Drosophila melanogaster: one gene and its partners. The protein of the gene in region 2 interacts with the protein of the main gene of each other region in a pairwise test. Each region holds a gene or a part of one and is shown on either strand. Other genes may lie near its edges.

The links.
Region 1: the proteins of Fur2 (region 2) and CG42594 interact in a two-hybrid assay, tested with the Drosophila melanogaster proteins (one large-scale study listed by BioGRID).
Region 3: the proteins of Fur2 (region 2) and ssx interact in a two-hybrid assay, tested with the Drosophila melanogaster proteins (one large-scale study listed by BioGRID).
Region 4: the proteins of Fur2 (region 2) and CG15370 interact in a two-hybrid assay, tested with the Drosophila melanogaster proteins (one large-scale study listed by BioGRID).

What each region holds. Positions count from the first base shown.
Region 1 is NC_004354.4:4,837,569-4,845,334, reverse strand, and holds the start of CG42594 (uncharacterized protein), read right to left. Parts: upstream 4,503-7,766; 5' UTR 3,895-4,502; intron 1-3,894.
Region 2 is NC_004354.4:16,371,199-16,379,106, reverse strand, and holds the start of Fur2 (furin 2), read right to left. Parts: upstream 6,022-7,908; 5' UTR 5,920-6,021; intron 5,886-5,919; exon of another isoform or gene 5,684-5,885; intron 5,478-5,683; exon of another isoform or gene 5,273-5,477; intron 4,567-5,272; exon of another isoform or gene 4,347-4,566; intron 4,182-4,346; 5' UTR 4,052-4,181; coding exon 3,248-4,051; intron 3,183-3,247; coding exon 3,078-3,182; intron 3,016-3,077; coding exon 2,758-3,015; intron 2,455-2,757; coding exon 2,320-2,454; intron 2,260-2,319; coding exon 2,100-2,259; intron 2,040-2,099; coding exon 1,736-2,039; coding exon of another isoform or gene 1,732-1,735; exon of another isoform or gene 1,685-1,731; coding exon 461-1,684; intron 401-460; coding exon 213-400; intron 144-212; coding exon 1-143. Other genes in the region: nonA (no on or off transient A), read right to left, coding at 7,560-7,793. UniProt on the Drosophila melanogaster protein: Furin is likely to represent the ubiquitous endoprotease activity within constitutive secretory pathways and capable of cleavage at the RX(K/R)R consensus motif.
Region 3 is NC_004354.4:1,367,708-1,377,279, reverse strand, and holds ssx (sister-of-Sex-lethal), read right to left. Parts: upstream 6,701-9,572; 5' UTR 6,617-6,700; intron 6,050-6,616; 5' UTR 5,973-6,049; coding exon 5,910-5,972; intron 5,830-5,909; coding exon 5,506-5,829; intron 5,407-5,505; coding exon of another isoform or gene 5,366-5,406; coding exon 5,258-5,365; intron 5,195-5,257; coding exon 5,013-5,194; intron 4,820-5,012; coding exon 4,233-4,819; coding exon of another isoform or gene 4,165-4,232; exon of another isoform or gene 4,123-4,164; coding exon 3,929-4,122; 3' UTR 2,603-3,928; downstream 1-2,602. Other genes in the region: AMPKalpha (AMP-activated protein kinase alpha subunit), read right to left, coding at 1-584, 1,093-1,371; CG14770 (uncharacterized protein), read right to left, coding at 7,227-7,667, 7,906-7,920.
Region 4 is NC_004354.4:9,221,872-9,228,320, forward strand, and holds CG15370 (uncharacterized protein), read left to right. Parts: upstream 1-3,565; 5' UTR 3,566-3,584; coding exon 3,585-4,697; 3' UTR 4,698-4,817; downstream 4,818-6,449. Other genes in the region: t (tan), read right to left, coding at 1,069-1,155; Gr8a (gustatory receptor 8a), read left to right, coding at 5,424-6,264, 6,326-6,449.

The DNA of each region.
Region 1 (7,766 bases), about 12 Mb from region 2:
AATACAATAAATTTATGCCAACAAACGAGGGACCAGAAGACCGAAAACAGACAACAAATGAAGCAAAAATAAAGTAGAAAATAGGCACAGCCTATTGTCTTAAAAAAAAAAACGTAGGAAAAACTGAGAAAGACACGTATAAGAAAAACAATTACCTGTTGTCGTGGGTTTTTTTTTTTTTGGTCATAAATGTTTACGTCTGTCAGAATTATTTTGGGCCTGTGAGCAATTGTATATATTTTCACAGGCGAGTGTAAAACTTACGATTGAAATCGAAATATGCTAGGATATTTGGGTTGGGATTAGTATAGCTTAAATGGTAAATCCGGTAGGAACTTCTCTCCACTGATTAGGCCAAAAGCACCTGCCTCTTCTGACTTTGTTCGCACTACGCATACGCCTCGTTAGCCGTGGCACTTCAGAGCATTTACCAATTAGCCACCCATTCGCCCTTTCGCCCTCTATTCTGCATTAACAATAGCTGCAGACTCGACACCTTTTAACACCTGAAAGAATTTAATTAATGCAGGTCGTCCTCGCTAAAGCAACCAGAGATGCTGCTTAGCAAAAGGAAGTCCTTCGTCCTCGCCCATGCAAATTAAAAACGTTGAAATGAGTAAGCAACTAAGCCAAAAAAAAAAAAAAAAATTAATCGCAATAATGGAATATAACGTAAAACAGCAGCTGAATTTAAAATTTGTATTTCTAAAGTCCGAGAACTTGGAATTTAATCGCCTAAAAGTATACCTAAAGTTGAAAACTAATGGCCAAATAACGAAACCAAAATCATAAAAATGCGTTGAAATTAGCAAAGTCTAAATTAAATTGAAATAAATGAGAGCTTGGCCAACTTTCGCCCCGCCTACCGGGAAATCCGCTCAGAAACATTGCGGATTTTATGAACGGGTGTGAGAACGCGAAGGTGTCTCAGAAATCCTGCAGGATCCGCTTAGCAGCAATTATCTTCATTACGCGACGAGCGCACAAAAGTATGCAAGAGGGCCAAACAAGCTGAAGCCAAAGCAAAGTCCTGACAATTAGGAGCTTTCTCTTTGGATACAAAATAAGGAGCAGTGGAAGAAGTAAAAAAAAAAAATAAAATAAAGAAAACACCTTTAACCTTTTGCCTCGCATATAAATACGCTGTTGATGGATGTGTTTTGAGTGGCGCTCGAAACGGTGGGGATTCGGGGTCAAACGGCATGGGAACGCGAACGGCAACGGGAGTGGCTTCCTGTTTTTCGGGCTTCTTTTGACTCGAGTTGTCGCCACCGTTCCTCTGTTGTTGTTATCCAGGTGGTGGAAAATCGCGGCGGGCAGGTAGGCTGCTGGGCTGGTGGGCTGGTGGGCTTGGGGGCAGGTGGGGGGAACGGTGTCTAAACGATTTATAAAAGCCAAGGCAGCCAAGGAATGAAGCGGGGTTGAATGGCACAAAAAGTGTTGCAAGCAATTTGCGCAATGGTAGCGAGCGCTGCCTTTGCCTCTGACTTTGGCAAATCCCCCGCCAGTAACCTTTCACCCCGGGCACACGAAAGCAGGTGAGCCAACTCACCCAACACCCCCCTTTTAACCTCTCTTAACCCATGCGTGGGCCAAAAACTTGCTGCCATTTTGCACGTAACTGACATCAGCGCGCTTATAAATCAACTTGCAAATGTCTCTCTGTGTGTTGGCTTTTTTTGTGCCCAACTTTTTTTTCTTTTTTTTTCAGGGGCCACCATTTTTGAGTTCATGATTTTTGGCACACAGACAGAGCAACTCATATGATTAGATTAATGCGTTGTCTAATGGCCTTGGATCCCCCAAACCCCGCATATTCCCCGTCACCCATCCAACATCCCTTTCACACACACATTGTGCGTGCCATCTTGTGGGTTAGGCAAATCGTAATATCATTTTTATAAACATCTTGTTAACCCAGGGCCATACATTTTGGCGAAGAAAGGAAGGGCAGCACATAAATCCACGGCCGGAAAATATGATTTGCGGGTCAAGGGGCTGGCAAAGGAGTGATTACCTGGGCTGGAAAAGGGATGTATGGCTTGCAGTCAGACTCGAAAGTTAATGGAAACAATAAACTATGGGTTCTACATATACGCAAATTGCTATATCTCCTGACCATAATCATTTCAAAATAATAAGCTTTTAGTTTCGATAAAAGTTAATAATTTAGTTTACACACTGTTGGCACTTTAAAATTGATTACGCTGCTTGATATTGACAGCAAAGTTTTAAAAAATTTGCAAAACATGGTTAACTTTTTAATGAAATTTTGATGTTTCTGTTTCGTGCGGATATGAAAGTGTTTAAAATATAATATATTTATATTTTGAGACTAGTGAAGCAATCATGTTTGCTCTCATGCGTGTGGAAAAATGAGATTATGAAACTGAATACATATTTTGTACGTGTTTTTATTGTTTTGAATTAGGTGTATGCTTGAATGCTTGAACTTCGAGCATGGGACTTTTTCTTGAAACTAGATCTGGTGTGTAAATTGAAATAATCTGCGGTGATGGAGGGACTCTGAAACTTGTGTAATCCTCTTGGGATGGAATGCGAGTAACTCATCACGCCCTTGCGATAATCGGTTGGCAGTGTTGCACAATGATGAACAGCCAGCCGGCGGATAAGCGCAGTGTCTGTCAAAATGTTGCCCAAATTGGTTGACTTTTGACATTTGACCTGGACACGTAACGCACCACGCCCCCCGCCCATCCGCCAACCACCTACCGCCCCCAGCGAGTGTCACTTTCTGTAGTTGTAGTTGGGCAGAACGTGTGATTTATGATGCTTTCGTTGGCACTGTGTTGGTAAATTACTTTCCCCCACACACGCACACGCAAAGTGTGCGAATATTTTTGCCATTTTTTTTTGTTTATGCTTTTTTGGTGGAGTATTTCCTCCCCCCCCCACAGTGAAGGAATTTCAATCGCCGGCCAAACTTTAAGCGGTTTTCGCATTTAAACAATATGGCAAGGAGTTGGCCATAAAGAGCCCATCTTTTTTGCATTCTTCCTTGGAAAACCGACGCGTTGACCTTTAAGGCCGTCTTGTGCCACATTTCCTTATAATATATACACATTTGCTCGCTCGACGCTGTGCGTGGGTCATTTAAATGCTACATTATGTTGAATATTCAATTTAATGTGCCTTATAAATCATGTAGGTCCTTGTCCTGTCGTGGCCCCTGCTTTGTCACACTTTCCGGCGAAGGGGGATAAGAGAGAATAGGGATAGTTTTCACTGGCTGATGGAGTCACTTATTTTCCACAATTCCATATTTATGAAGCCCTGATTTACAACTGCTTATCGCTGGGGTCTGGTGCCGGAATTGATTAGCCTCCATCCCCCGGAAAATGAACTGTCATCGTTTGGGTTGCCTAGATAAGGGTCCTGAGCCTCGACCCACACTTCTTCTCCGTGCCGAATTTATCATCAGAAGAGCAAACGCATTGACAGTTTGCAAATAGGTTTTGGTCAACATTTTGGATAAGTGTTATCCAATATTTACTTTGAATTTATTCGAAATCGTCTATCTTATATACGTTTATAATAATAACTATGTTTGGAACAACTGTATTAACTTACTAACCAAACATAGTTAGTTAATTGTTATTCGTTAGGAAAAAAAAAAAAAAAAATATCAATGCAAATATATACTCATTCATAATCATAAAACAAGGCGACAACGTTCGTCGCCCCTCTCGGCGCTTCTCAAAGAGTCTAGCTAATATCGTGGATTAAGTGGGTAGATGCGGATAAATTGGGAGAAAACACACTTGTATTGGTCTTTTTCGGTTCTCGGTGTTTATCAGCCGCTAAGAAAATAGTCCCCAATCTCAGGCAAACACAGGAAAAAGCCACGAAAACAAACAATTTGTGTTTACTAACCGTTCTCGGAGCACTTTGGCCCTCAGCTTATTTTGGGTGATTGGGTTTTCTGGCTTCGCCTCGTTCGCTCGCTGATTATCTCAGTTTTATCTGATTCTTACTTTTCGGTTTTTCACACTTGTGTGGACAAATTTTTCATTTCATGCGCATTTGTTGCATTCACTTGTTATTCGATTCGATTTTCATCACCATCATTATCACTCTCTGTGTGTGTGTGCGTGGTCTGGTGCCGGCAAAACAAAACAAAAACAAAAAAAAAAAAAAAACAATTTATTGAAAATAATGGAAAATCGCGCACAGAGATCAGCGAACTTTTCCAGTGTTAATTTATTTTTCTTTCGTACGAAACACGATGCACAAACAATTATCGTCACGCGATCACAGGACACCTTAAGGACCTGAGGTCTCTGGTTTCTGGGTTTCTGGTCTTAAACAACACGTCGCGAATTGTCGTGGTCGTGGTCCTTCGTCCTTCGGCTGGCTGAGCGGCTCAGTTGGCTCAGCCAAATCGGTTGGCTTCTGTTTGTGTCCTGGGGGTTAATTCACCAGCCGGCTGACAACAAACAGCAGCAGAGTTCAACGTGAGACTGAATGCCGTACGGAAAAGCCTCGTGCGATGCCCTCGTCGCCTCGGAAAATCCTCGTCGTCGTGGTGAGTTTTCCCCAACGGTTTTTCCCCGCACTAAAGAGCGACCGCCGGGCGAACGACCTTGGCTCGCTCTTCGCCAGCTGTTGATTTTTCTCTTTCGGCTACCCAAAATCGCTTATGGCCATCGTAGCGGCCCTAATTGCCAAGAATGGTGGTGGAATGGTACTATGCTAGTGGTACTGACAATACTGACAATCTGGTTTTTCAACAATGCCCTAGTATTGCGCGTCGGGAAAATATTAAAAACATATTAATAACTTGATTTAAAGTAAGAATATGCTTAAGGTGGGACTGTCCTAGATGCTTGAGATACTCGCTCAGACACAACCGTCACACACACATAATACCACCTAGATCCCAATGATTAATTGTTGTGCTAGAGTATCTGAAATAATTACATTTCATTCTTTAATGGGGGAGTCCATCTGAGCGGAAAATGCCATCCAGACGAGGATAAGTTTTCGTAACGATTTAATGGGAACCTAAGTGAATTCCAGGCATCCGGCAATTTAGATGTGTCGTAGATACTTTCGTATCCGAATTACGTATCTGTTGCATCGGGGCCGAAGTTGAGACAAGAAATTATGCTAATTGGACAACACAAGTTTTGACAAGCTACAACTGACACTTTAACTTTAACACCCATGCCCCGAAAAACCCAATTCGCCACCCATCATCGGCCCGCTTAACCCATGGCAAACCGGTCAGAGTCGAAAGGAATGGTAGCGGGACGAAGGTGGTGAAGTGGGTAAGTCATGTGTTATACATCACTTGATTAGGCATTAAATAAATTCTCTGACAAGTTTACACTCAATTACATGAGTTGGCTCCCCCCGGGCTGCGAAATGGAAACTTCACAGCTCCAAATTACTGAGCTGAGCGAATTTAATTGCATGTGAGCGACATTTCGCAGGGAATCCGTTCGTTTAGGGATCATTGAGGGTCAGCTTGGGGAGTGGAGACCATATAAGATCCTTCGCATGTTGACATTGCTATATATTTTCTATGTACTTCCAAAACACTTATAAAAGGTGCTTAAAAGTGAATACCATAGGAGTTATTTGAAGTTCAATAAACTATTAATTCATTTCATTTTCATTAACTATTTCACGTACCCAATTAGTTGAGAAAAAACCAAAACAAAGCGTTCAAGTTATGTGAGTTCTTGTGTTGACTGAAATTTTTCTCCATTTTTCCATATTTCTTTCTTTTTTTCAGCCGGTTGGGCCATCTGTCGATTCACTTTGCCTATCCGGCTAGCTTTTATTTGGCCTTCTGTACACTGTACACTTCTACCATTGCAATTCCTTCGCTTGAAGCTTCTTGGCTTGCAGGCTTAATTGAGAAAGAGATTTGATTAATTTGCATGCCATAAACAATTTGCAATTTGTTTATGCTCTCAAAGTCGGGGCAGCCGTAATTAAAGCAAAGCCCTGCCAAGCTAAGCAACTTTTCCAGCGATTTTCCATTTTCCTGGCTGGCTTGAATGCGTGGGGCGGTTGGACGGGGGTAGTGTGAAAAGAAATGTCACCGAGGCAAGGTAAGCAGATTAAGGCCTTCTTTGACTTGGCAATGCAATTCAAGTCTTTTGCACCGGCATGCAAATGATGATGGCTCAGCTTGGCTGAGCTGCAGAATGCAGCCGAGGAGAAAGCGGGAAGAAAGCCGGTTGGAAAACGGGTGAAAATCGTAGGAAAATCGGGGGAAAATCGAGGAAAACGTGATGAGTCCGGGCATAGAGGCGAGGTAAACCGGTGGAATGCTGAATGTGTTTGCAAATATTTACTCAATGTATTCATGTGCAAACAATTACGCGTTCATTTGTGCGACTTTCGAGTGGCGAACAACAATGACGATGTAGATGAAGATGACGCTGCAGACGGCTGATGGTGACAATGACAGTCAAAATGAGGGACTCCTCGCTGCACCACCCCCACGCAGTCCACAACCGAACCCAACCACTCATACAAAACCACCCATCCAGGCAACCATCCTCTTTGTTTCGTTTTGCCTACTCACATATGCATAATATCCTTGACCTGTTTGCCTTGCTTGCGCTTTTGTGCGTGTCCTCCGCTGTGAAGGATTCATTCACTCGGCTGAAGTGCTGCGGAAAATGCGGAAAAAGGGAATGGGAAGAGCGGAAGGGCTGGCGGAAAACTCCTTTCGGCCATTTGATATGCAAAACTAATCTATGCTGCTAATGGCTTGCATAAAAATATTGGTATTGGTAACACACACACACACACATATTCTCTATTCTCTTTTCCGAAAAAAAAGGAAAACTGAGGAAAAATGGGGAAATCGCGTAAATCAGTTTTTCAAACTTTATCGCCTTGCCACGCATTTCAATATATAGTTAACTTTCTATAATTTATTGAAAAATATGGTATTATATATTGTATAATGTTGGATCTTAGAAAGATCTACTTGACATTCCCTCACAAGGTCCCAGTCTTTATTTTGGACAATTTCAAGGATCTGCTCGAATGGCTATCCAAGGACCTACGGTTAGGAATCAAAATCGGACTCATCTTTGCTCGTTTTGTGTGAATTTAACGCTCTGTTGTTGTGCGTTTGACCGAAACAATGACAGAATCCCCACTTATTTTGCCCCCTCCCCCCCCCACACACTTTCGCAGCATATCTCCCAACTTTCCCAGCCCATCATCCATAAGGTTTCCATCTGTCTTGCCCAAAAGTGTCTGGTTTTCGTTTACTTGCATATCGAATTTCCCCGAGCTTTCTTCCATTTCCTTTAATCGTCTGTCCAAGTGTCAGTCCGTTTTGTTTGATTGATTTTTACACCCTTGGCCGACGGTTAGTTCGCTGGATTCCGAAGCGTAGGAAAATTTAATTTGGAAATGGAGAAAAGTCCATGAGAACGATATATCTGTTGGCTTTGCCTCATGGGAAAAATGGGTGAACTGGGCTGTAAGTTGTTGTTTCGGAATATTGTATAAATTGCAGTCCTCCATTCTTAACTTTACAACCGCTTAGAACTATTGCTAAAAACTGCAGCTTCTTTATTCACACCGAAAAAATGGTTTAAAGTACGAGATTTGTAGAAAACGAAAAATAGCATCGACTTAGTATTATTATCATAGCTCTAATATTTGGATCTCTTGACTAAAATTTTAATTTGCCCGCGGGCAAGTTTGTTAAGCTTAGTGGATTTTCTTCGCAATACATTTGGACTTTTCCTGTGAACTCTCCACCCGTT
Region 2 (7,908 bases):
TTCGTACGTATCCAAGGGACAGGCCGAGTAGCATTTGTGCTCATGCATAACCAAATGGTGATCACAGCTAGTGCAGTACTCGGGATGGTCCTGGCATGAGGCACAGTTGGGCTCGCAGGGAACGCAAGTTCTATTCCTGCTGTCTGTGGAGAGTACAAAGAAATAATTGTTTAACAATAGCAAATTTTTGATGAACAAAGCCAGATTATTACTTTCAAAATATCCGTCCGGGCAGAATTGCAGGCAGACGGCGAGATCGATGACGTGCAGGTGGGCCGGAGCACATGTGAGGCAGCTGTCGGGTCCGGCACCGGCGCACGTTTCGCAGGTGTCGTGACAGGGCCAGCAGATTCCAACCTGGTTGGGAAAGGAACGCGGTGGGCAGCGACTTACACAAGTACTGTAAACAGAAAACCATTAGCACCCGAGCTCCACAAATGCGCATGTTGGTACCACTTACTTGTCCAAGCGGTAGTGACTGCAGGCAACGCACTGTGTGGGTCCACGGCCATAGCAGCCGGAGGAGTCGCACTCGGCATCGCAGGAGTGCAGGATCTTCTTGTCGCCATCCCTCGTTTCGGGCGCCGCTACCAGTTGAGCAGCAGAGGCGGTAAATCCAAGGGATTCAGCCGACGAGCCGCCAGCAATCGCTGCGGTCACATTCTGACCGTCCAATGTAGCTGTTGCCGGTTCCGGATCGGAGCCAGCGCTGCTAAAGATGTTCTGATAGTTGAGGTAACTGGCAAAGCTATCCGTATTGAAGTTCCCACCCTCGTTGGCAGGCTGGCCAATGTTCGAGGCCGATGGGAAGAGGAACGGATTGGAGCTGCTTGGGCTGCGCAACTGGGGACTGCTGTTCAGCAGCTCGGACTTGAGCCGCATGGGCTGAGTGGAAGTGCCATAGAATATCAGCTGCCACTTGGACAGGATGCCCGGCTGATTGACGCGCCGGCGTCCGCCGTTGATCACCTGCAGTGTCCAGCGACCCTCCGCCTTCTCGCCCCAAAAGTGAACACTCAGGAAGGGCCAGTCATCGAAGTTGGACTTGACGATGTCGCGCGGCCTCTCAAACAACAGGGTACTGGTGGTGCCCATCGGTGAGGTGAGCAGTATGCGAAGATTTCCTCGCGGGAAAAACCGTAGGGTAATGCGACATTGGACATGCTCTAGGTAACGCACTTCATTGATCGTGCCCGCACACCCATTGACATCCATATGCGTGGACAAGGTGGAACCGTATGCACCATCTATCTTGCGATCCTCATTATTTTCCCGCGACTTGCAGATGTGCTGCGGCGGCACCGATGTCCACTGCTCCGCCAGTGACACCATTGCTCCAGCATCCATTAAACCGTATCCAAACTTGTGGCTATACTTTCGCTTAACACCGTTCAGTGTCCATCCGTTCTCCTTCTCCAGTGGCGCCGGTCTTGATGTGTACACCACCAAGTATTGCATGTCGCGCCAAGTCAATTCCGGATTGGCCTCTAGCGCCAGGGCGCAAATGCCGGCTGCCAGTGGTGCCGATGCCGAGGTGCCCGTATGTTCCACCGTACATATATGATCGGGTCTCAGGCTGCCGTCCATGTCGACGGTGGCGACGCTCTTGTCATGTCCCGGCGTTCCGGAGCTGTAGGTGGTAGCCAGCGTGGAGGAGCACTCCTCCAGGTACCAGGGCTTGAAGCTGCAACAACATTACTGAATCAGAATCCAAGTCTACATCCTGTCAACTTACCCGGCTTGAGTGGCACTCGAAATGGAAAGGGTGAAGATCGAATTGGTGTAGCCATCGCAGTTGCAGGAGTCAGTGTAGCGTCCACCGTTGCCAGAGGCCCAAACGAATATCGAGCCCTTGCCCTGTCGTCCGCTGGTCACTCCGTAGATGAAGGCTCGGCGGGCCAACGGACCAGGACCATCGACAGTGGAGCCATCATCCTCCGGTCCCCAGGAAGCGCTGTATATATCGATGTGTGACGGATTAAGACTCAATGCCTGGGCCTCAACCACATCGTTGACCTTTCCGTCCAGCATTCGTACTCCTAATAGCACAAACAGCTTAGATGGTTTGCAATTAATACATATCAACCATGATCACTTACCACCAATGCTGGCATTGTAGGCCACTCCCACTCCGCAAAAATTGTTGAAAGCCACCGCGGCCACTTCGCCGGCACATCTGGTTCCGTGCTTGTTGTCACCATTGTCCTGGGGCGTTGGATCCGAATCGTTGCCATTTATATCGAAAGAGGCCTCGGGATCCTGCGTTTAAATAGTATTTTTAACAATTGATCATTGATTTTTTTTTGTTGGGATACTCACATAGTTTTGGGCCAAATCGGGATGGTTTGTCTGAATGCCATCGTCCAGAATGGACACGACCACGCCCTTGCCGGTGTAGCCCTTTTGCCAGGCGGGACCCACATTCATGTCCAAGCCATCCTTGGCGCCGCCATTCTACAAAGCGATTTTTGTGGGAATTTACAAATTGATTATTAAACATGACATTGGCGAAGAGATAAGCAAAAAATAGGCAATCAATCAACAAAGAAATCCAAACATTTACAAATAAAGCATGTTAAATGAAAAGAAAATATTTCGAAATCAACAAAATCAACACTAACACGGTTAGTAGCAATCGATTGAACGTCTCAAAGGAAACTACGCTGATGGTATAGAGAATCGAGCTAATAGACTAATGGACTATAAAATATATATGGATTCATGAAGCATGCATTTAAATGAGAGATGATTACATACTTTACTCACCAGATACCACTGTTCCTTAAACAACGGATCCGGAAAGATGAAATGCGAGCTGACATCCCGGTACTCCATGCGCTGTGAGTGCGAGGCTAACGAAATCGATTCTGGGGAGAATGAAAGATGCGGATTCGGATCGACAACGTAGCCGCCGTGTTGGCGTAAAAGATTATACGGACTGTAGGTGGGTAAGTCCTGGTACGGGCCGTCCCTCTTTCGGCGCACCTTCTCGTGCTGTTGCTGCATCCATTTCACCTGCAAGGCAATCATGATTGAAATCTCTGCTCCAACTGGATACTTTTTTAGAGAGTACACACCTCGTTCTCTGATTTAAGGGCGCCCTGATGTTTGCGACTAGAGCGCAGCGAACGCTTCGATACATGGTGATGCTGAAACAGATAGTAGTTGTCCAGCGATCCAATCTATGAAAAATTAAGTAAATTGTATGAGCACCAATTCCATTGCAGCGTTGGACAAACATTCTCACCTGTCCTCTATTGATAAATCCATGTTTGGTAGCTATAACATCTGCCATTTGCTTGCCAGCTGGAATGTTGACGGCGAACTCATTTGTGTATATCGCCTCTTCCGGAATGCTGAAGGCGCCAAACATATCGACCCCGTCGAAGTCGAGGCTATTTGACTGCCGTTCAACAATTTCATCTTTCGCACTGGCATTTGTGTGAGTATTTTCATAGTTATAATCGTATTTGCCGCCGCTAATGGTCTCAGCTTGACCCGCTCTTTCACCTCCCAGGCCAACCAGGTCGACCTTGTGGAGCTCTCTGTCATTACGATAATCAACATCAACATTCGATGATGATGATGATGATGATGATGGGGGATTTGTTCTTCTACTGCTGTGCAGGGACGACACATCATATGTGGTCGTTGCACTATCGTTGCTGAGTATTCCGACATAATTCTGAGTCTCACCCGCACTACTCCGTAGAGCACAACTAGTATTTGGGCTTAGGATTACTAAAAATAATACAAAATATATACAGCTCTGTGCCATTCGGTTAAATGTACATAAATAGATTCTATTGAGTTTTGCCGTTGCCGTTTCTTTTGCTCTTTGTGTTACAGTCGTTCCAGGGTCATGGACTCGCATATGGAGCATCATCTTTCGCCGTCCGATCTTTCGGTACGTTGGCTCTGCGAGAGATTTGGGGCCTCCACAGCGGGAAGGTCGCTGCTTCTCCAAGCCGGACGACCATGGATCTGTGATCTGTGGCGTGGTTCCAATTCTACCGATGGTAACTCGGCTGGACCTCGTCGTATTTGACATATTTAACTAAGTTTAGCTAATGGTATTAAGGTAGTTTGATTCTCCCGAAGAGTCCTTTTGCGACGTTTCCCTTTCCTGTTGTCGTACTCATGAATCTATTTTTTTGATCTCGTATCTCACGATCTAGTATCTGCAAGAGAACACGAAAAAGCACTTCAATTGTAGATTGAATTTGTGTTGTGCGAGAGACCCAAATAAAAACCTTGGACCGGTTAAACGTGGGCTTTTTATAACCAGAGATGCCAAAATGATTCATATATCACAGATATTTATGGCCGAAACGGTTTGTGCTTACTTATTAATGAAGTGCCTATTTGCGATGATCCATTGTTCGTCGGATGACACAACAGAATCACCTGGGGGGAACTACAGGTAAGTGTTAACAATGAGTAAGCCATATATGTACATATCTCTGTACATACATATGTACGTATCTATGCACATGTGTATCCACATGTCATTTGATTCTATTGTTTTCGGTCAGAAAGTCCCCCGAAGTGTAAGATGCAGTGGGTCTGCAATAGGGGAATTATGCATTAGCCCATTCTAATCATGTTTCTAATTAACATATTCACCACTACGGAACCCGAGCTTTTAAATTGAATTAACATTATTATTTATTGAAATAGCATTATACTGAACTCAGTAGCAATTGAAAGCAAAAAAAAAAAGGTATAAACAAATAACGGGAAACCGGGGATATCACTTCATCGAACCCCGCTTGTTTATATGAAAACCCTATTAAAAATCAGAGAGTTACCGTAAACCTGCGACCAAATGAAGAAATTTAATTTTATAATCAAACCAATTAGGCATTGCCAACGCGTTTCCAATTAGAAAATAATATATGTATGTATGTATGCACACGGCGCTGCATATAAATTTATATTATCAATGTTTAAATTTGTGCACGCATCTTTAAATTTTAATGAGTACATGTGTATGTATGTATGCATGTATGCATATGTGTTAGTCAAGTGATATGTTTATCCCATATTTCGATATACATATGTACATAGGATATGCAGTTATGCATGCCCGATATTGCATAGCTAGACGCATATGCTACATGAAAAGGCTATTAAATTATGGCTATGGTATCATATCAACAGTATCATATGTACAGACAACATCTATTCCGGTCTCTGTTTTACTGTGCCATTCGTTTAAAAAAAGAAACATACATATATGGCTGTGTTTGCTTGTAAGGAAATACTTCACTTTGCCGAGCATAATCCTACAAACGTATGCATATGTACGTGTGTATACATGTTTCTGGGCAAGTTCAGCTTGTACATCTCCCATTTTCCATCTCAATCACTCTCGCTGTATTTCCCACATGCTTATTAAATCACACATCTCCACATTTAATCACACTAATTTCGCACTGTGTGCACACTATCAACAAAAAAACAACAACAACAATTAAGCCACCAAGCCAACTTTTTTTTGTATGTATACATTTGCGTCCGATAATGTTTATGTGGCTGTGTGGGTCCGTGGGGCTTTATACACATTTGCAATTTTTATGCGTAAGAGTTGCCATTTCGATGGTGCATACATACATACACCCACAGATGTATGAAATCACGTAATGCAAGCCATGCATTCGTATGCTCTTTGCGTACATACATACATCATTGTGCATCAGAAATGGCAATAGCGATTCATGTAATCCAAAGCATTATATGTACATACATATTTATGCACAAATTGGCTCAAAGCGGTCACATTTAGAAATAAATCACAGATACACTCTTTAAGCTTTATTTAGCTATTGTTAAATCAATGCAATGCTATGCAAACGCAATCGAACAGACTGAAAACTGAAACTGAGACTTGAAAAGCGAAAGAGAACGCATGCTTACCATGCGTACATACAATATAGGAACTAGCCGAAAGCCGAAAGACCAAAAAGCCGACCGAACGAACAAGCGACGCAACCTCGACTGCGCTCCAGCTTAAACTGAACTTTATTTTGAAGTTAATACATATAGCCAACGTTGGTTGTTTCTTTCTCGCTGGATTTGTGCTAACCGCATACACAAACACACGCCAAGTATTAACGTACAAACGAACATACAAACGTACGTACATACAATCGTGCAATCAAACATTCGTACATTGGCAAGTGTACGTATGTTTTTACATAAAGCACAGCTTTCGGAGCTTTCAAAACAAAATGCAAAACATAACACGCAACCGTGCTGTAACAATAAAAAAAAAGAGAAATATCAACTATTACGTACGCACGCATACACCGACGTGCATTTCGTACCACAGCCGATGATAAATACACATTTAAGACGTGTTTCGATAGGAAACTGAAACTTTCGTGCAAGCCAAGTACATACATACACACAAACCGCTGGAAGCTTGTCCATCCATCCATCCATACGTATGTTTGTACCGTACATACATACGTGCGAAGACGCTCTCTAAGCGCTGACATTCAAACAAGAGATAACATTTAGCGGTAGCGCAAGGTTTTCGTTGTTATTGGTTAGCCGAGATTAGCGTTTCCATTTTCCGCTTTTTTGTGACCCGAAAAACAAATGAATCCAGTCGCACAAAATCCCCCATAAATGTTTGGTTGCTTGTATGTATGTATTTAAGCCAAAGATTTTGGCAAATCCCAAATGTATGTACATACATATGCATCTTGAGCCCCGGTATCGCTACACAAACACGCTCGCAAATACAAACAGATGCGAAGGCAACGCGCTACTTTTTAATATCTGCTTCACCATTAAACAATTATTAGCGGTTAGGACAGGTTATGGTTGTTTCCAATGGGAAGTAATACACAAACCTTAAGCAGACGCAAATTGGAAGTGCACTGTAATAAAAAAGGCCTTGGAAGTAATATAAAAATTAAATTATTTATTTCAATTTCGCTTATCGCTGACTTATTTTATGTTGCCGGAAATACGAAAAAACGTATCAAATCGAGCGGGTTTCGGCATAAAAGAAATAGAAAAAATGAATGTTTCCAAAATAAATAAAAATAAATTTCCTGTTTTTCAGCTATATTAAATTATTAGCTTTCTATTCGATTGCTATTTATAGATTTTAATGCCAGTTAGACTTGCGTAACAATAAATAACAATAAATAAAAATAAATAAAAATAAATTGCCTGTTTTTCACCTATATTAAATTATTAGCTTTCTTTTTGATTGCTATTTATAGATTCAAGTGCCAGTTTGACTTGCGTAAAAATATGTTTTCAGATCGGTTTTGCAGTGTTGCCAGATTGGTGGTAGCATAGGTAAACAGCTGTTGAATGATACCGTTAAATAAGATACGAGTTAGATCAAATAAATTTACTAAAATAATGCGATAAAACGAAGCTATTAGAATGATTATTACGATCAAAAGAACTTTGTTTAGAACATTTGGATACAACCTTTTTTATTTGAAAGGGTTTTATGCTTATATGTTTTAATACTTTTTAAATCTTCAAAGCTTTTCATTTCAGCTCATTGCAGTTCCATATCCCCGAATTAATCATAAAACAATTAACCAATTTAAGTTGCTTATGCATTTTTTAATAATATTTGATCGAGCATTAAGCTGTGTGCGTTTCTTAAAGCTTTCACATTTCTGTACAATTTTCGTATAAAACACGTGAGATGAGAACTCTTCCAATACGAATGCCACTAAAATTATATCCGAATCCAAATCTGGTGGGCTGAAGTTTGAAGTAATCTCGTTTATAGGACCGTCAAGGCGTTTGATCTCCTGCAAACACAAACTGGATTAGTTCAAAATTCTGGTAGGGAGTATATTTCAATAATGCAGCGCGTGGTTAATAAAGTGCTGCATAATAAATAAAAAAAAAAAAAAACGGAAAATG
Region 3 (9,572 bases), about 15 Mb from region 2:
AGGTAGGCCGGGAGGTCCTTTTGGAACCACTCGTGCTTCTTGATTTCCTCGATGTTGGCCCGCTTGAGCGGGTCCACTTGCAGCATCTGACAGACCAGATTGACCACTTGTTTGTTGAGGTACTCGGGAATGGGGAAAATGCCCGACTTGATCTTGCGAAACAGCGTAGGCACATGCTCGTCGTCAAAGGGCAGCGTCCCGCACAGCAGGGCGTACAGGATGACGCCGCACGACCAGATGTCCACCTCGGGACCGGCGTACAGCTTGCCGGAAATCACCTCGGGCGCCGCGTAGTTGGGCGAGCCGCACGAGGTGCGCAGGAACTCGCCGTCCAGCATCATGTTCGAGAGCCCAAAGTCGGCGATCTTCACGTGCATGTTGTGGTCGAGCAGCAGGTTCTCTGGCTTCAGGTCTCGATGCACGATCATGTGCCGGTGGCAATAGTCCACGCCAGAGATAATCTGCTGAAAAAAGCGGCGCGCTTGGTGCTCCTGCAGCTTGCCGTGCTTCACAATATAGTCGAACAGCTCCCCGCCGCTCACGTACTCCATGATCATGAAGATGTCCGACGGCGTCGATATGACCTTCGGAGAGTTACGGAAAGGTTAGCAAGCACGTTTATATCAGCTGATGACTGCAGCCGTCCCTAGGTTCCCCCAAGCCCTGCCTAACCTAATTGGTAACTGATCCAATCCGAAAATCGAGGGAAAATGTGCTTGTAAAACCAAAGCAGACCCCGTACATATTCCTTTTATAAACTTTCCTTCCAAACTTTTTGCTCATTTAAGTTGGGCTTCTATGTCTGTTGCGAATGTCTAGCCAGTGGCCCAGTTTCTAGATATGCATTTGCCTTCCGCAACAAAATTCGGATGACTAGGCATGACCGTGTACTTTATAGATAAACAAACCTCCAAAATGTTGTTATAGAAAAGCTATTCCCCCTTCGGGCATATCCTGCCTTTTTGTTTATTAAACTGCGGCTTGATTGTTTGTTATTAGTAGCTGGCCAGCGTAATTGGAAGAGGAAACCAGTAACCCAGTTTCCTGGAAAGCTTGGACTTAGAAAGTCTAAGCTTGGAGCCATGAACTCACCTGGTACAACTTGATGATGTGCGGATGGCGGAAGAGCTTTAGGTTCTGGATCTCACGCCGGATCTTGCCCACGACGTCCAGGCTTTTGATCTTCTGACGATTGAGTATCTTGACGGCCACCTTGACGCGTGTGATCTGGTGCTCGCCGATCTTCACCTTGCCGAAGGTTCCCGTTCCCAGGGTTGCGCCCAGTAGGTAGTGCCCAATCTTGACCAGCGGCTGGCCATTGGCGCTGCCGGCGGCCACCGCCTCAGCGGCCGCAGCCCTCATCTGGGGCATCTCGAGCAGGTAGCTCCTTGTTGGACTGGGGGTGCTCCACTGCTCCGCTGCGGATGGGCGCGGAGAGGGGAGCGGTGGTAAGGTCGTTATCGGTTATTGCGTAGTGTACTCCGCTGAATCAACAGAATAGAATAGAATAGAGCAGCCACTCACGTTACGTTCTTCCTGCCAGCCGTGCCACCTCGCCCGGATACGGATTCGGATGTCAAAGTGGTTGTGGATGTGTCAAGGGCGGTTGAATTGATACTGATTTCCTGGATTTCTATTCGAGCGCGGCAACGAGACTCTCCTTTACGCTTGGGTTTTCTTCGCGTTTTGCTTATTTAATTGACATTGGAAGGCGCTGCCACTTCCAACAACACTGCCTTCCAACAACACTCGTTCCAGCAGCTGATTCGCGCCCTCTCTTTCTCTCTCTCTCTCGCCTTCCAGTGGCTATCGATAAGTGGCGGCCAGTGATGCCAGGTAGTTCCGCAGTGGCGCGCAATTTAAAACCATCTTGCCACTTATGCTGAATTTATAAAAAGCAATATTAATGGCTTTACTCAACCACATTTGAAATAGTTAAGCTCGCAAAAAAACTAGTAGGTGTGCGTTGTCGAAACTCTCTGATGTCCAATTGAAAGGGAAAAGATGCCCGTTTTGTGATTTAAATACACATTTATTACACCAAGTTGATTTTTTGGATCCACTCCACGCGCATAGAAGGTCAGAAAGATACCTCTTTTGTGCAACGTTAAGTGTAGATCAACATTCAATATAGATTATCAAGAATACTGTCCTAAAATTCTCAAAGATGTATGGTAAAATTCAGTTTGTTCACAAATATGCGTGTATATGTCAAGCTTTGTATTTTTCTTTTTTAGTTTCTGTAGTAAAAGGCTGCCACAGCTTCTTGTTTTCACCTGTCAAATAGAACCGCTTAATGACTAGTATATAATGTTCGTGTAAATGCGTTTTTACGACGATCAGGATTCAGCTAAGCGAAAATTGAACATTTTAACTATTTATTTGCTTAGCCTAACATCAATTTACAACAATAGTATATCGTCAACTTAAGCTCTGATCCGCACTGTACTGTGCTGACTGTACCTCAAATCTGTATCATCTCTCTCGCTCTCTTTCGCTGAGGCTGCATCGCACCATCTCGCTCGCAGACTCAAGAATTCAATTTGTGTTCGTTTATTATAAACTTTAGGATTTAAGGTTTAAATACATGTATTTCTTTCGTGCTTTAAGTTTATTCTGAAAAAAAAGTCACCTTAACTATGATATTGCTACGAGACTAGGATTTACGTTTAGAGATTATCAATACTAAAAAAAAAAAATTTCGGACCTCTGGGTCTCACGGGTATGCTGGTTGGAAAATTTCAAGTTTATTTCATATTCAGCCATCTTCTTGTCGGGTTTCTGTTGGAAGTTTACCCGAAGTTCGGGTATTTATACATCATTCATATATATTATCTAATATATAGGTGTTTGTATAGTGTGGTGTTCTTGTTCTTGGTTTGTTGGTAGTACATCAATAATTTATTTATAATGTAGTAAAAAGCAAGTGACGCGAACGAACCCTCGCTGTCGACGTTCCTTATAAGTCTACAAATTAACCATCTATTCAGAGCAAGCGTCTTCTGTCTGTTGTCATAAGGTTCGTCTCTCTATATATCCGTGTGTGTAACGTCCGTCTCACAGTGTCCGGCCGGAATAGTCGCCACATCTTGGGGCTTTGCATCCGTGCAGTTACTCAATTCATTTACAATTCGCAATCCACCAAGAGCGAAGATTGTTTCGTGAACTGGAGATGAGTGCAGGAAAGTTATATTTGAGTTTTGGTTGCGTTCTCGTCTCGTCTTGAGTGGCTGATGGTTTGCGTTTGGGGCTTTGTATGTTGCTCATACAAACTCATTGGAATTTTTTCTTATGTGGTTCGATCAAGGATTCGACTCCGACCGTCTTTATGTGTGTGTGTGTGTGTGTTGTTGGGGATTGTGTAGGCTGGTTAACTTTGGAACATTATTTCGTACATCTTAATACACGCTATGCATCTTTAATTTGCTCTGCTTAATTCTGTGATAGTGTTCTTGTGGTACTGCCTATGTCTGCCGTGCACCTTTGCTTTGCCTCTTGCTGCCAATGCTTGGATTTGCTATTCCTGGCCAGTGTGGTTTCGGGTTATATCGTATGGTCTCAACCAATCCTGGCTCTCTGATATGGATATACATATATGGATAGCAAGATACATACATACACATAGAGAGCGAGAGAGTTGGCTACTATTGGATATCGCTTCTGGGTAATATCTCCTCTTCCCTCCTCCGATTGCACTCAATCTATTTCTACTCGCTTCTACCATGTGGCCACCGCCTCCGCCGCCTCCGTCTGCACTCACTTTAAGCTTGTGGACTGGCTCTGTTCATGGTAACAGGAAGAGAGACCGGAACCGTGACATATACCGGAACATACACGGCCAAAACAGCTGGGTAGGCCGAAAGTGACGCAGCTGGCGAGGAGATGGAAACAACTGATGGATGGGCGGGGGCTGGAAAGTAGAGCGGCACTAGGTAGTCGGAGTGGGAACGGGATCTGCCACCGAATGCGCAATATATCTGATGGTTGTTCTGGAGGCTTGCGGGCGGCGGCTTAAACGGAATCTGCTGTTCTTGTTGGGGCTGTGGCAAATGCCATTGCCTACGGGATGCGGCTGGCTGGGGAATCGGCTGCAAATCGGCAATGGCAGCATGAACACTTCACCTGTGAGATGCAGCTAATATCGTGTAAAGAAATTAATGGCGTTTAAATAAATTTCTGTGCATGGTTATATGGATGCGGTTTTTGAGATCGTGTTGTTCTATTTGATCTACCTCTGTGCGCCATGTGGTGGAAGTTACCACCACCGCCTCCACCGCCGCCGCCACCACCACCACCGCCGCCTCCGTGAATGGGCATGCCCATGCCCATGCCCATTCCCATGTTTACGCCCATGCCCATGTTCATGCCCATCGGGTGCATTTGCTGCATGTGGTGCGGATGCGGGCCGCCCATGTTGTGGTGGTTGTTGTTGTTGTTGTTATGATGGTGGTTGTTGGGGTGATTGTTGTTGTGGTTGTTGGGATGGTGGTGCTGCATGTGGTGCAGCTGCGGATGGTGCTGCGGATGCTGGTGTGGATGCTGCGGCTGATGATGATGCGGCGGCATATGCGGATTGTGGTGGTTGTTGTGATGGTGATTATTGTGGTGATGAGGTGGGTGCATCGGTCCACCTGGGCCCATGTGGGGCGGACCACCGCCTCCGCCACCATTGCCACCTCCGATCTGGGCCATAAACTGGGCCGCCTTGGCCTTGCCGTGTTCCTCGGCGAGTCGTACCCAGATTGGCTGGGATCCGCCCTCCGGCACCGTGTTGTTCAGCGCCTTGATCGCCTCTTGAGCTTCCTCGCGCTTATTGTAACTGCAAGCAAGAAAGCGGGTTTCAAAAGCAGAATCGAAGTAAGTGCAGTTCAGCCACCAGTCGAACTCATGATAAATTTGGACGTGGATTTCTGTGAGCATACAATTAAGTGGGGCACACTGGACGGGAATTGAGCACCGTGACCTAATTTCGAATCGTGGATGCTGCACACGCAGATCGCACCCGTACTCACCGCACAAAAGCAACGCCGCGCGGTCGTCCAGTGAGCTTATCCCGCAGGATGTTTCGCTGAACAATCAGGCCATAGGGCGAGAAGATGCGGTCGAGCATGTCGTCGTTGATGTTTCGCGACAGGTTGATGACGTACAAATTCGTATCCTTAATGGACTGCCCACCCGGTCGAGCATACGACACCTGAGGGAGACGAAAAAGAGAGTCACAAAGGAGTCATGGGAATTCCGGGGGATTCTAACGCACCTTTAATCGCTTGTTGCGCACATAGAAGCCATTTAGCTTCTGGATGGCGTCCTCCGAGTCCGACTCCGTTTTGTAGTCCACGAAGCCGTAGCCGAAGCTATATCCGGTCTGTTCCGTTGGCGGGCATACAAAGCAGAGGGGAGTGTAAGCTGCATTCGTGTGTACATGCAACGTGCGACAGGGATGGCACCTGTTACGTGCAGTTCAGCAGGTATTCTGGGCGCTCAGGCGGCCACAACCGAACTTACCTTGAAGTCGCGCATTATCTTGCAGGTGTTGATGGGCCCGCAGCCGCTAAAGAGGTTGTACAGTTCGCGGTCGGTCATGTCCTGTGGCAAGTAATTGATGATCAGATTGGTGGCGCTGGTTCGGTCCACTTGCTGCATTTGCTGCTGTTGGCCTGCGGAGTTATCGTTGCCCTCGTTGTCCTGGCTGTGGTGTTGCTCCTCGTCGCCAGAGTGCTCCTGGCCGTCGCCACCGTTGCCGCCATCTCCATTCTCCTGCTGCATGTTGCCGTTGCTGTCGTCGTCATCGTCGGTGCCGTCATCACGGCCCACATTGTCGCCGGATCCCTGCACCGAAGCAGCGAATAGTCGGGAATATACGCGTGAAAACAGGTTCGTCGGCTCGCTAAGAGAATCCAAAAACTCACCTCTATGTCGGAGGACTGCTCGTCGTCGTGCTCCTGGTCCTGCATCTTATCCGCGTTGGACATGACCTTCTGTGTCAAGCCTTGATAGCTCCTGTTTGTCTGGGTTTCTTGCGTGTTTGCGTCGCAGTTGGCGCCACGAGCTGCAACGATACAAGAGAGTGCAAATCAATTAGTTCGCCAAGAAGAAGTTCAAGAGGGATTCCGATTAGGAGTCGCAGTAGGGACGAGCGATGCTCCTTGTTGCGCGGCTGCAGGATGCAGATTGAGCGCAGCTCCACACTCGGGACTCCGGAACTGCACTTCCTCTCGGCAAAATCAGAATCCGAATATGTGTGTGTACATCTCGGCAGCCGAGCCAAGGGGGAGGAGCCGGACGGAGGGCGCCAGCTTTGCTGGAATGCGGTTGCACTCGGTAGCCTGCCACTGCCCGCCCCTGGTCTTTTTAGGGGTCCGTACCAGGGAGTCCCAATAGCAACTCCGGCGCTACCCGCAATACTTGGAAAAAGCTGCTGGAAAAGTAACTACCAACACTCGCGCACTCGCCCATACACGCACGCACACATACACACGGCAGGCGATGCGTCCGTGTTTTTTGGCTTGGGGCCGTGCAGCCGAAAAAAGCAACACGAAAAAGCGTAGGCAGCACGGAGTCCTCGGGAAGCAGCCAGCGGCGGCCACGGAATACTCTGCAGGTGCAAAATACTCACTTTTTAGCAAACTTCTTCACAAACTGCACCGGAAAGCAGCGAGTTTTGTGCACTTCTTGCGTTTCCAAACGATATACAATGGAAGTCAATTCTTCTTCGATAGCGGTGCGATTTGTATCGGAACCTATCGGGGCCAGCAGTTCTTTGATAGTTCGATAACTCATGCCGTCCGCCTCTGGAAGGCATCAAGTGTTTTAAACCATTTTTTGTCTAATTGCCATTGTTAAGATTATTATTGAATTTCTTCAGTACTTTATAGCAGTTATGCCAAAAACAATTTTTCGCCAGGGTTGAACCTAAAAATATACCAGAACACAGAAATACCACAAGCGGTCGTGGTGCGATAAATTGCCTGCGCGTTCAATTATTGATAGATCGTTATCGAAGTTCACCTGAGCAGTTAAATACACTGTGAAAGAAGTTGTGGCAAATTCAGAGTGGAGCAATCAAAAAAGTTTAAGCAATATAATATAAGATCTCTTGATTTGGGTGGTACTCTATACTCTAGGTCAACGCTTTATTAACACAAGAAAATTAACGTAGCAAATCCTTAAACGCTAACGAAATCCCCACAGCTCATTTGGCATTTCCGATTCTGGTAGTCCAAGTCCTACTCGTGGTGCGAGTAGTGCTCGTAGTGCTCCGAGTGGTGCACCGGCTCCTCGTAGTGGCCGTGCTCGTGGTGCGACTCGCTGTGGTTTTCGAGCACCAGTCCGTGGTTGTGGTTGTGCTCACTCTTCGGGTGCAGGATCTTCAGCTTCTGCTTGGTGCCGCCGATCTCGATAGGCTTTTTCACCAGGTGCTGGTCCTCCTTCTTGATGTAGACGGGCACGGCATGGTAGTGGTGGAACTTGACGCTCTGGTGCGAGGTGGCGTGCTTGTGGTCCACCTCGTGGTGCAGCTCCGTCTCCTCGTGCTCCGGCTCGTACTTCACATGGTGCTCCGGCTCGTGGTGCTCATGATGGTCGTGGTGCTCGTACTCCTCGTGCCCCTGGTGGTAGTCGTGGATCTTCAGAGCTCCACTAACGGCCAGAAGGGCCAGGCAGGTAATCTGCAGGAATGGGTAATATAGTCAATGCGGTATTCCATTTTAAACTAAAAATCTAATGTTAAATATATTTCCAAGTTGTTAATGAGGTGGTGAGGTTGAAAAACAGAACATGCATTCCATTTTCCATTCCGAAATATTCAGAAATATTTGGTTCTTGTTTTTCATAAACTATCTTATTGACTTGAAAACGTTCATTCCATTAAACGAATCTATGTTTGTAAAGTGTTTCGGTGCTTACAGCCAACTTGAGCATGGTTTTCTGGTTGCTTTTGAATCACACACTGGGGCACAATCAAAAAAAATATTCGAAACTGTAGACCGTTACGCGAAGTGCTCCTCTTGGCAGTGGCGAACTGAATGTGGCTCTGCGTTCGGGACCAGATTCGATTTATACCCGGTTTGGGCCAATCCCACCAACGCTGGCCAACCTGTAGCTGGAGTTGTGGCAAGCGAAATGTGAAATGTGCAACACCAGCAACAATGGCAACACACGGCAACGAACTTCAGTCTGTTGTTGTAATTTATGACCGCTGCCTGCCACAATTGTTTGGAAAATTTGGAAAATAGGTGCGTGCGATAGTGGTTCAATTAAAGCGGATTACGTATACGGCATGTGGCCTTTGCTGCGGCGGCGGCCAGTTTCCTGCGCAGGAGAAACCGAAACCCGTTGTCAATCAACGGGTTAACAACCACCCAGTTGAAAAACCAGTTGACGTTGAAAAATTCGATGCAAGTGCAAGGCAATTAGACGGTCAAAGATAGGCAAATAGAAAAAATCACAAAACGGAAAGAGAGGCCCAATGTAATCAATTTTGCCCACGTGAAAGATCCTTCTGAATTCCAAGGACAAGCACTAATGATCGGGCAGTAAACACCATCTATAGGCTAATTGCAATTCTATTAGTTTATCACCATTGCCAATCGTTTTCCCAATCCCAACGATAGCCACCGATAGACAACTTCCCGATTGCTCGCGACAGTTCACTCATGGGCCAATCCCTGATGATTGATGATTAATGATGAATGGATTAATGATGGATTGAGATGAAGAGAAGGGATTTTCGCAATCCCCACTGCAAGCTGCAAGTGTCGGGTGAAAGGTGCGTCCACTTCGATCGATAAACGAACGAAGTGAGCAATTAAAATGCAGCACATTACCATTAGATAATGACTTCGGCGGCGGGTTAACGACTCCACTTGGGAAGCTCGCGAATTGCATAGCCCAAACCCATTTCGTTCCGAATGCCAAAATACCACTTGAAGCGATTTAGTGGGTTAGTGTGCTCTGGGCGGGCACGAAATGGCGGCTGTGTGCACATATAATCGATTTGAAAAGTAAAAGTAAACTGCTTTCCCAGTCGCACGATTTGCATAACAGCCACAACGCCACCACGCCGCCAGTCTGCAGTCTGCCGAGTCCATGTCCAACATGCACCCGACATGTCGAGCAGTTTTAATTATCAATCCGGCGATAAATCTCCTTATATAACTCCATAAATTGACAGGAAGTGCTGCTTACCAAGTCTGTGAAGTAAAAATTAAAGGAATAGCGTAACTGGTTCGGGAATCCAGTAAAAGGCTTGTTTCCTAGTCCCCCATCATTATTCTATGCTTAGATCCTACTCCCAAGAACCGAGCACCCAGCTTAATTTATCATTTTTAATTTAGGATACGCAGTCACCGACTATCTCTCTTCGAGTGCGGACGTCTGTGTCTTTCCAATTGTGTGAGCTTTGCTTATCGCGTAATTACCATCGCCGTTACATTGATATTTATCATCTTATCTTCTTGATCTTCTTATCAACGCGTACGTGCAAATCAAAAACATTCAATATCCATAAATTTATTAACCATGGCCCCCGGGCCACTCAATTTGGGGGATAATCGCTTTGCCAGTCTCAGCGC
Region 4 (6,449 bases), 7.1 Mb from region 2:
ATTGCAAAATAATTAAATATATATGAAAAAGCACTATTTATCCAAAGTTTGGCACAAGCTGCTGATGTTTGTGGGTGTAATTATACTTTTTAATTTACTTGTCACTTCAAAATTATATTGAAATTAATATTTGCATTTAAATCATTTAAGTTCTTGCACATTTCCATATTTTTATACAGTTCGCGAACTTTAATAATATTTAAAATGAAGATATCGACACTGGTTAATTGGTTAATTGTTTTGCAAGTGTAGCCAATATTCTTGGCCCGATTGGCACGGGAAAAAGACAGTTGGACAAAGCCACGAGAATCACGAATCTGCATTTGTAAATAGCGTCTGGGTCCGGGAGTTGTCAAACGAATCGAGGTCTCCGGGTGGCCCGGCCATTAAGATTAAGCCCAACCGACTTTAGTTTATTGCGACCGCAATTCAGATTAAAATGTGGGTTATCATCAGGTGGAGTCCAATAGATACATGCATATATAGATAGAAGCTTGGTGCCAAATTCCTATATACCTCTTGCTCACTTTTGCACACCAAACATATATATCTTCATCTTAATCTATAGTAATTGGGTTCAGATAAGGCTGCTCTCTTTATGGTTAATGCAACTAGTTACCCCTTTAATTGTTATTAACATGTACTTTTGGGTACTTTAAGTTCTGTCTGACAGTTGGCCCATTTTAGAGCTTAACTTGATATATTTTATTATATATTTTATTATACAATATAAAGCATCGTAACACAAACCATTCAAAATCCAATTAGATATTTTTTAAGAATATTTATATTAAACGTATAGCTCGTTATCACTATTAGGTTACAAAAAAAAGTTAGAGCTTTAAGTGGCTTTTGCCAGATATATGGTTGCTAATATGGTAATATTTTTTTCTAGTGAAAAACATTAAACAGTTACCCGTTCTTCCCCAAATAAACTTCTAATAATAAACGCAGAGCCATTAAACATTTAGATTGCGTGACACCAGTTGAGTTCTTAAAGGTCGTGTGAGTTTTACTACATACATATGTATGTACTTACTTAACTAAACTTAACTAAAAAGAACTTACCATATCGAAGCCAACTTCGTAATGGGTGCCCCTGGTGTAGAGCACTGGCACCGCCTGGCGACGTGGCAGGATCTTTCCGGAGGACATCTTGGAGATCTGTTGATCTAAAATGGGTTCGGGGTTCGGCGATGGGAACAACTCTTTTTTTTTTGTTTTAAGCAGTGGAAAGCTCTTTGCACTCGGCGCAAAATAGAAAAGGTAATCAAGAATAAGACGCGTCTGTTGATGATAACAAAGTGTGAGTTGTAAACAAACAAAAAAACAAAAAATAGTTAGTATTCCAATCAGAATGCCAGCTGATTTGTTCTAGAGCGCTTGAAGGCAGAATTCAAACTGATTTGTTTTGTTTTCGCGCCGACGAAGGCAGGCGTCGGCAGAGAGCGCTGCTGCAGCGTCGGCGGCGGCGGCTGCGTCGGCGTCGGCGTTATCGATTACCGACCGTTAGTTAACCCACTAATGACCGAGATACACGCTGTGTAGTTTGGGTTAAGTTCATTAGAGGGGCTGATGCAATTTTGCAGTTATAACTATGACTTCATACTTTGCTTTTTAGCAAGTCCAGAGATCAGCTGGGAATATATATTGTACATATATACTAAATTATTTTAGAATCAAGTTCACTGACCCCAAACGGTTATTTCGGAAGTTTAGGAACAAATGTAAATTTTGTTTTAACTTCATTTTATAGTGTAACATAAAAAATCATCGCCCAAAACCGGCTGGGGTTAAGGGCCGCTTAGAACTTTCAGATTCCAAAAACCATAGATTATTCAGCCTACTTATTAGAAGTTGTTGACTGCGTCCCAAAAAAATCTAGATATTAGAATGCTTTCGGCTGGTAAGTCAATTAGTCCGTCGTCTAATAGGCTTTGCGGCTTAATGGAACGCTTTTTGCCTCATTGTGTTACCCCTTTTCTTTGCGTATACGTAATATGAGTGCTGGAAATATCCGGCATACCCCGATGCTACCCCCTCTTTCGACCAACAAACTGACCATGAATATTTTCGCTTTTGTTTGCCGACCATATAAACACGTTTTCGATTGTTTCGCCGTTTTCTTTTCTTTCCATTTATTGCCTTTTTAACTGGGTTGGATTTTGCATTCCCCGATTTTCTGCTTAATTTTCACGCCAAATGAAAAGCGTGAGAACCGCGAACATACATAATATTCATTAGCGAATTATAGATTGGGTTTGGTTTTCAGTTCTAAATTTTCAGACTTCGCAAATTAAATGCGAATAAATAAATATTTAAGCAATCAATCCAGATGCCACTTGCATATTAATTGTATTGTTTTTCGTTGTATTTTGTTTGCCATCTGAGAGAGAAAGAGAGATTTCCAAGTGGCCTACAATCGCGATGATAATGATACTGAAAATGATGATCGTGATAATGATGTCGCAGAGCAACTTTCTCAGTTTATTTTTTTTCCCCCTATTAGCATCACAATTAAATGTTTTTTATTAATTTCGTAGCGCGAAACTGAAAATTAGTATTGGCGATATGCGCCGATATTATATAAGTGAGAATATCGATTAGGTATGAATGAACACGGTAATTTCCCCGATAATTTCGATAGCTGCGAACAGATCAGGTCGCTTTCATTATTCAATTTGTATTAACTTTCGTTCGTTGTTGTCGTCTGGCTGGCGGCTAGAAAAATGTATGCATCGCATTTCAATAATAATGAAAACAAAAGTTAAAACAAATAAAACAACCGCTAGTTTCGGTGCGATGGAGAAAGGGCGAGGAGGGGGGCTAGTGTGGATAGAGCGGGATAGTGAGATTCCGTCGAACGGTGATTGCAAGAAAATGACATTTTACAGTTGCCCCCAAACACCCTACACTCACCTGCGTTTTGGAGCATCTCGGTTTTATGACACCGTTGGCAGCGCTCCATCGAAAAACCTAGAACTACAAAGTATTACTCATACATTCGCGAATTAATAATCCTTTTTATATCATACATTATGATATCCTTATTATATAAGGCATTATTGTTAATAATTATATAAAAATATGGAATATTATGATCACTCTTTTCTTTAGGATATCAGTACTAGGGTCCAGTGCAGAGACGTCAGAAACTGATAAAAATTCGAAGATATTTATTAATTTTTTTTAGAAAGAAACGCATGATGCAGAGTGGGAGATTCCACGCTGCGTAACAGAATGGAAACTTTATATTAATTTTATCAATTTACAAGAACTCATGCAGATAGCTTGTATGCAAGTTCTTTAAAGATTAACAAATTAATCGGAGAATAAAAATATTAGTAACATAATGAATAAGGTAATAATGGCAAAAAGAAATCCATTATTAATTTGCTAAAAGAAAGGTATACACGCACAAAGGGCATTTGAAGGTCGGCGCAGGGCAAGGTGTCATCCATTTCACCCGAGGGCTCCGTAGGTCAAGATGCTTGTCGTCGCCAGCATTGGCTGTTGTATATAAATTTTGACAAAAGAAAGACTTCGGTTTAAACCAATTTTGGCAAGGCGGCGACCATAAGGTGATGACCACTCGACGCGACGACATGGCATGGATTAGCGGCCGTTCCCACCTGCTGGTGCCTGTGATCTTGGTGCTGTTAATACCGTTGGTCGCGGGCTTCGGCAACGAGTATGTCCACATCAAGGTGCATGTGCCCAAAGAGGAGTCAGCGGCGGAGGAGTCGCCACACAAGGTGATCCACCACTACCACCACCATCCGCATCCGCATCAGTTATACCGCAATCGGGGACGAGCCCGTCCCAAGCCCAGTCCACTGCTGGAGAGCGTAATCCTCTCGGATCTGGACAAGCCGCTGCACATGAGCGAGCATGCGGACTATCTGAATCACGCCAAGGAGCTGGCCGACCACCTCACGGAGACGTATGCCAAAAAGGCAGCTCCTCCGCCGCCGCCGCCGCCCAAGAAGAAGGTCAACACTTATACGATCATTGAGGAGCAGCACAGACCACATGGCTACGACTACGAGGATCACCATGAGCCCAGTGTGGAGACTTATCGAGTGATTGAATCGCGACCCAAGCAGCAGCACCATCATCACACTCATACTCACCATCCGGTTGAGGAGGAGGAGGTGGACGACGATTATGGATATCACTATCCGAGCGGGGGAAATCATCATCATCATCATCATCATCAGACTGGCGCCTATGCGGAACCCGCACCAGTGGAGGAGCACATCGACCAGGAGCCGGATACGGGCTATAAGTATTCGCCACACAGTCACGCCTACATCCCGCCCAGCCACGGTCAGGCCCAGCGGAGCTCCAAGCAAACCAGAGCGCCAGCGTACACTCTCGAAGCTCCGCAGGAATCCTCCTTCGGATACGATTACTCGCGACCCTCGGCCGGAAGTAGCACTGACTTCCGGCCATCCGTCCAGGTGCCATCCAGTGACCCGTACGGCGAGGAGGAACCGGCGGACACCTATGGACCACCGCTTACGGCCACAAGGCGTCGCCGGCCATCGCAATCCCTGGTGGATTGGCCCGAGTCCAAGGGATTCAACAGTGCCGCGTCCGAAACATACAGTGGCGTCGATAGCTACAACGTGGGTCATGTTCAGGGCTATGGATCCAGTAGCTATCACCAGTACAGTGGTGGGCCCTATCTGTAGGCGTTCCAACACCCCGTCTAATCTAAGATCTATTTATTGCACTTTTTTTTTCCTAGCTTCGTAAGTCGATAGTCAGTTTTCAGATTTAAGCGATAAATAAATAAATGTTTGTAAACACTTAAAGAAATGTTATTCAATTTCTAGGAATCAAGTTGTTAGAAGTAATAAACAAAAGGTTAACTTATTTGTTTATTTATTTATTTGTTTCAACTCAATCCTAGCAGTTGGAAAGCACCAAGACCACTTGAAAATTATAATGTAATAAAAACGCAAATTTGAATAGTTGAAGTAATAAAAAAAAGAGACTGTCTAATTAGTATGCATATTATGATCTTGAATTCTCAAATTAGTTTATTTAAACACTAAAATCTAATATTCTAATGGTGCAAGAGTAAAATGCACTCATTTTTGTTATTGACTTCAACTTTGGATACCAACCGGTTCACTTGGCAATGGGAATTTAAGTATACTACTTAGTGCAATTATCCTAAGTCTTGATTCTATCTATAAAACGTATAATATATTTACATTCTGATTATTTATTATTATTTCAAATACGGAAATCGTGTTTGGTACATTCATACATGGACTACTGTTCTCAGTGTTTTTGAGGAAGTCAGTTAGGCTAATGGATTTCTCAGTTGTTTGTTGGCCCATTTAAAGGGAGATCCGCCGCAAGGATAAGGCCTGTCCATCCATAAGGGTTTCACTTCCGAGCAGTCAACGATGAGCGGCCATCTGGGTCGGGTCCTGCAGTTCCACCTGCGGCTCTACCAGGTGCTCGGCTTCCATGGGCTGCCGTTGCCGGGCGATGGGAATCCGGCCAGGACCAGGAGGCGTCTGATGGCATGGAGCCTGTTCCTGCTCATTTCGCTGAGTGCCCTCGTACTCGCGTGCCTCTTTAGCGGCGAGGAGTTCCTCTATCGCGGCGACATGTTCGGCTGTGCCAATGATGCCCTTAAATACGTATTCGCCGAATTGGGCGTGCTGGCCATATATCTGGAGACGCTGAGCAGCCAGCGGCATTTGGCCAACTTCTGGTGGCTGCACTTCAAGTTGGGCGGCCAAAAAACGGGCTTGGTGAGCCTGCGCAGTGAGTTCCAGCAGTTTTGTCGCTATCTGATATTCCTGTACGCCATGATGGCCGCCGAAGTGGCGATCCATTTGGGATTGTGGCAGTTCCAAGCGCTCACCCAACATATGTTGCTCTTTTGGAGCACCTATGAGCCGCTCGTGTGGCTGACGTATCTGCGCAATCTGCAGTTCGTACTGCACTTGGAGCTGCTCAGGGAGCAGCTGACCGGCTTGGAACGCGAAATGGGTCTGCTGGCGGAGTACTCGCGATTTGCTAGCGAAACGGGTCGGAGTTTTCCTGGATTCGAAAGTTTCCTGCGCCGACGACTAGTGCAGAAGCAGCGCATCTATAGCCATGTGTATGACATGCTCAAATGTTTCCAGGGTGCCTTCAACTTCTCCATTCTCGCCGTCCTGCTGACCATCAACATACGCATCGCCGTGGACTGCTACTTCATGTACTACAGCATCTACAACAATGTGATTAACAACGGTGACTTGGGGATCTATCATTTAAGTACATCATGTAGTATATATGGAGTATCATCCTACAGATTACTACCTAATCGTTCCCGCCTTGCTCGAGATTCCCGCCTTCATATACGCTTCGCAGAGCTGCATGGTCGTGGTGCCCAGGATCGCCCACCAGCTGCATAATATAGTCACCGATTCCGGTTG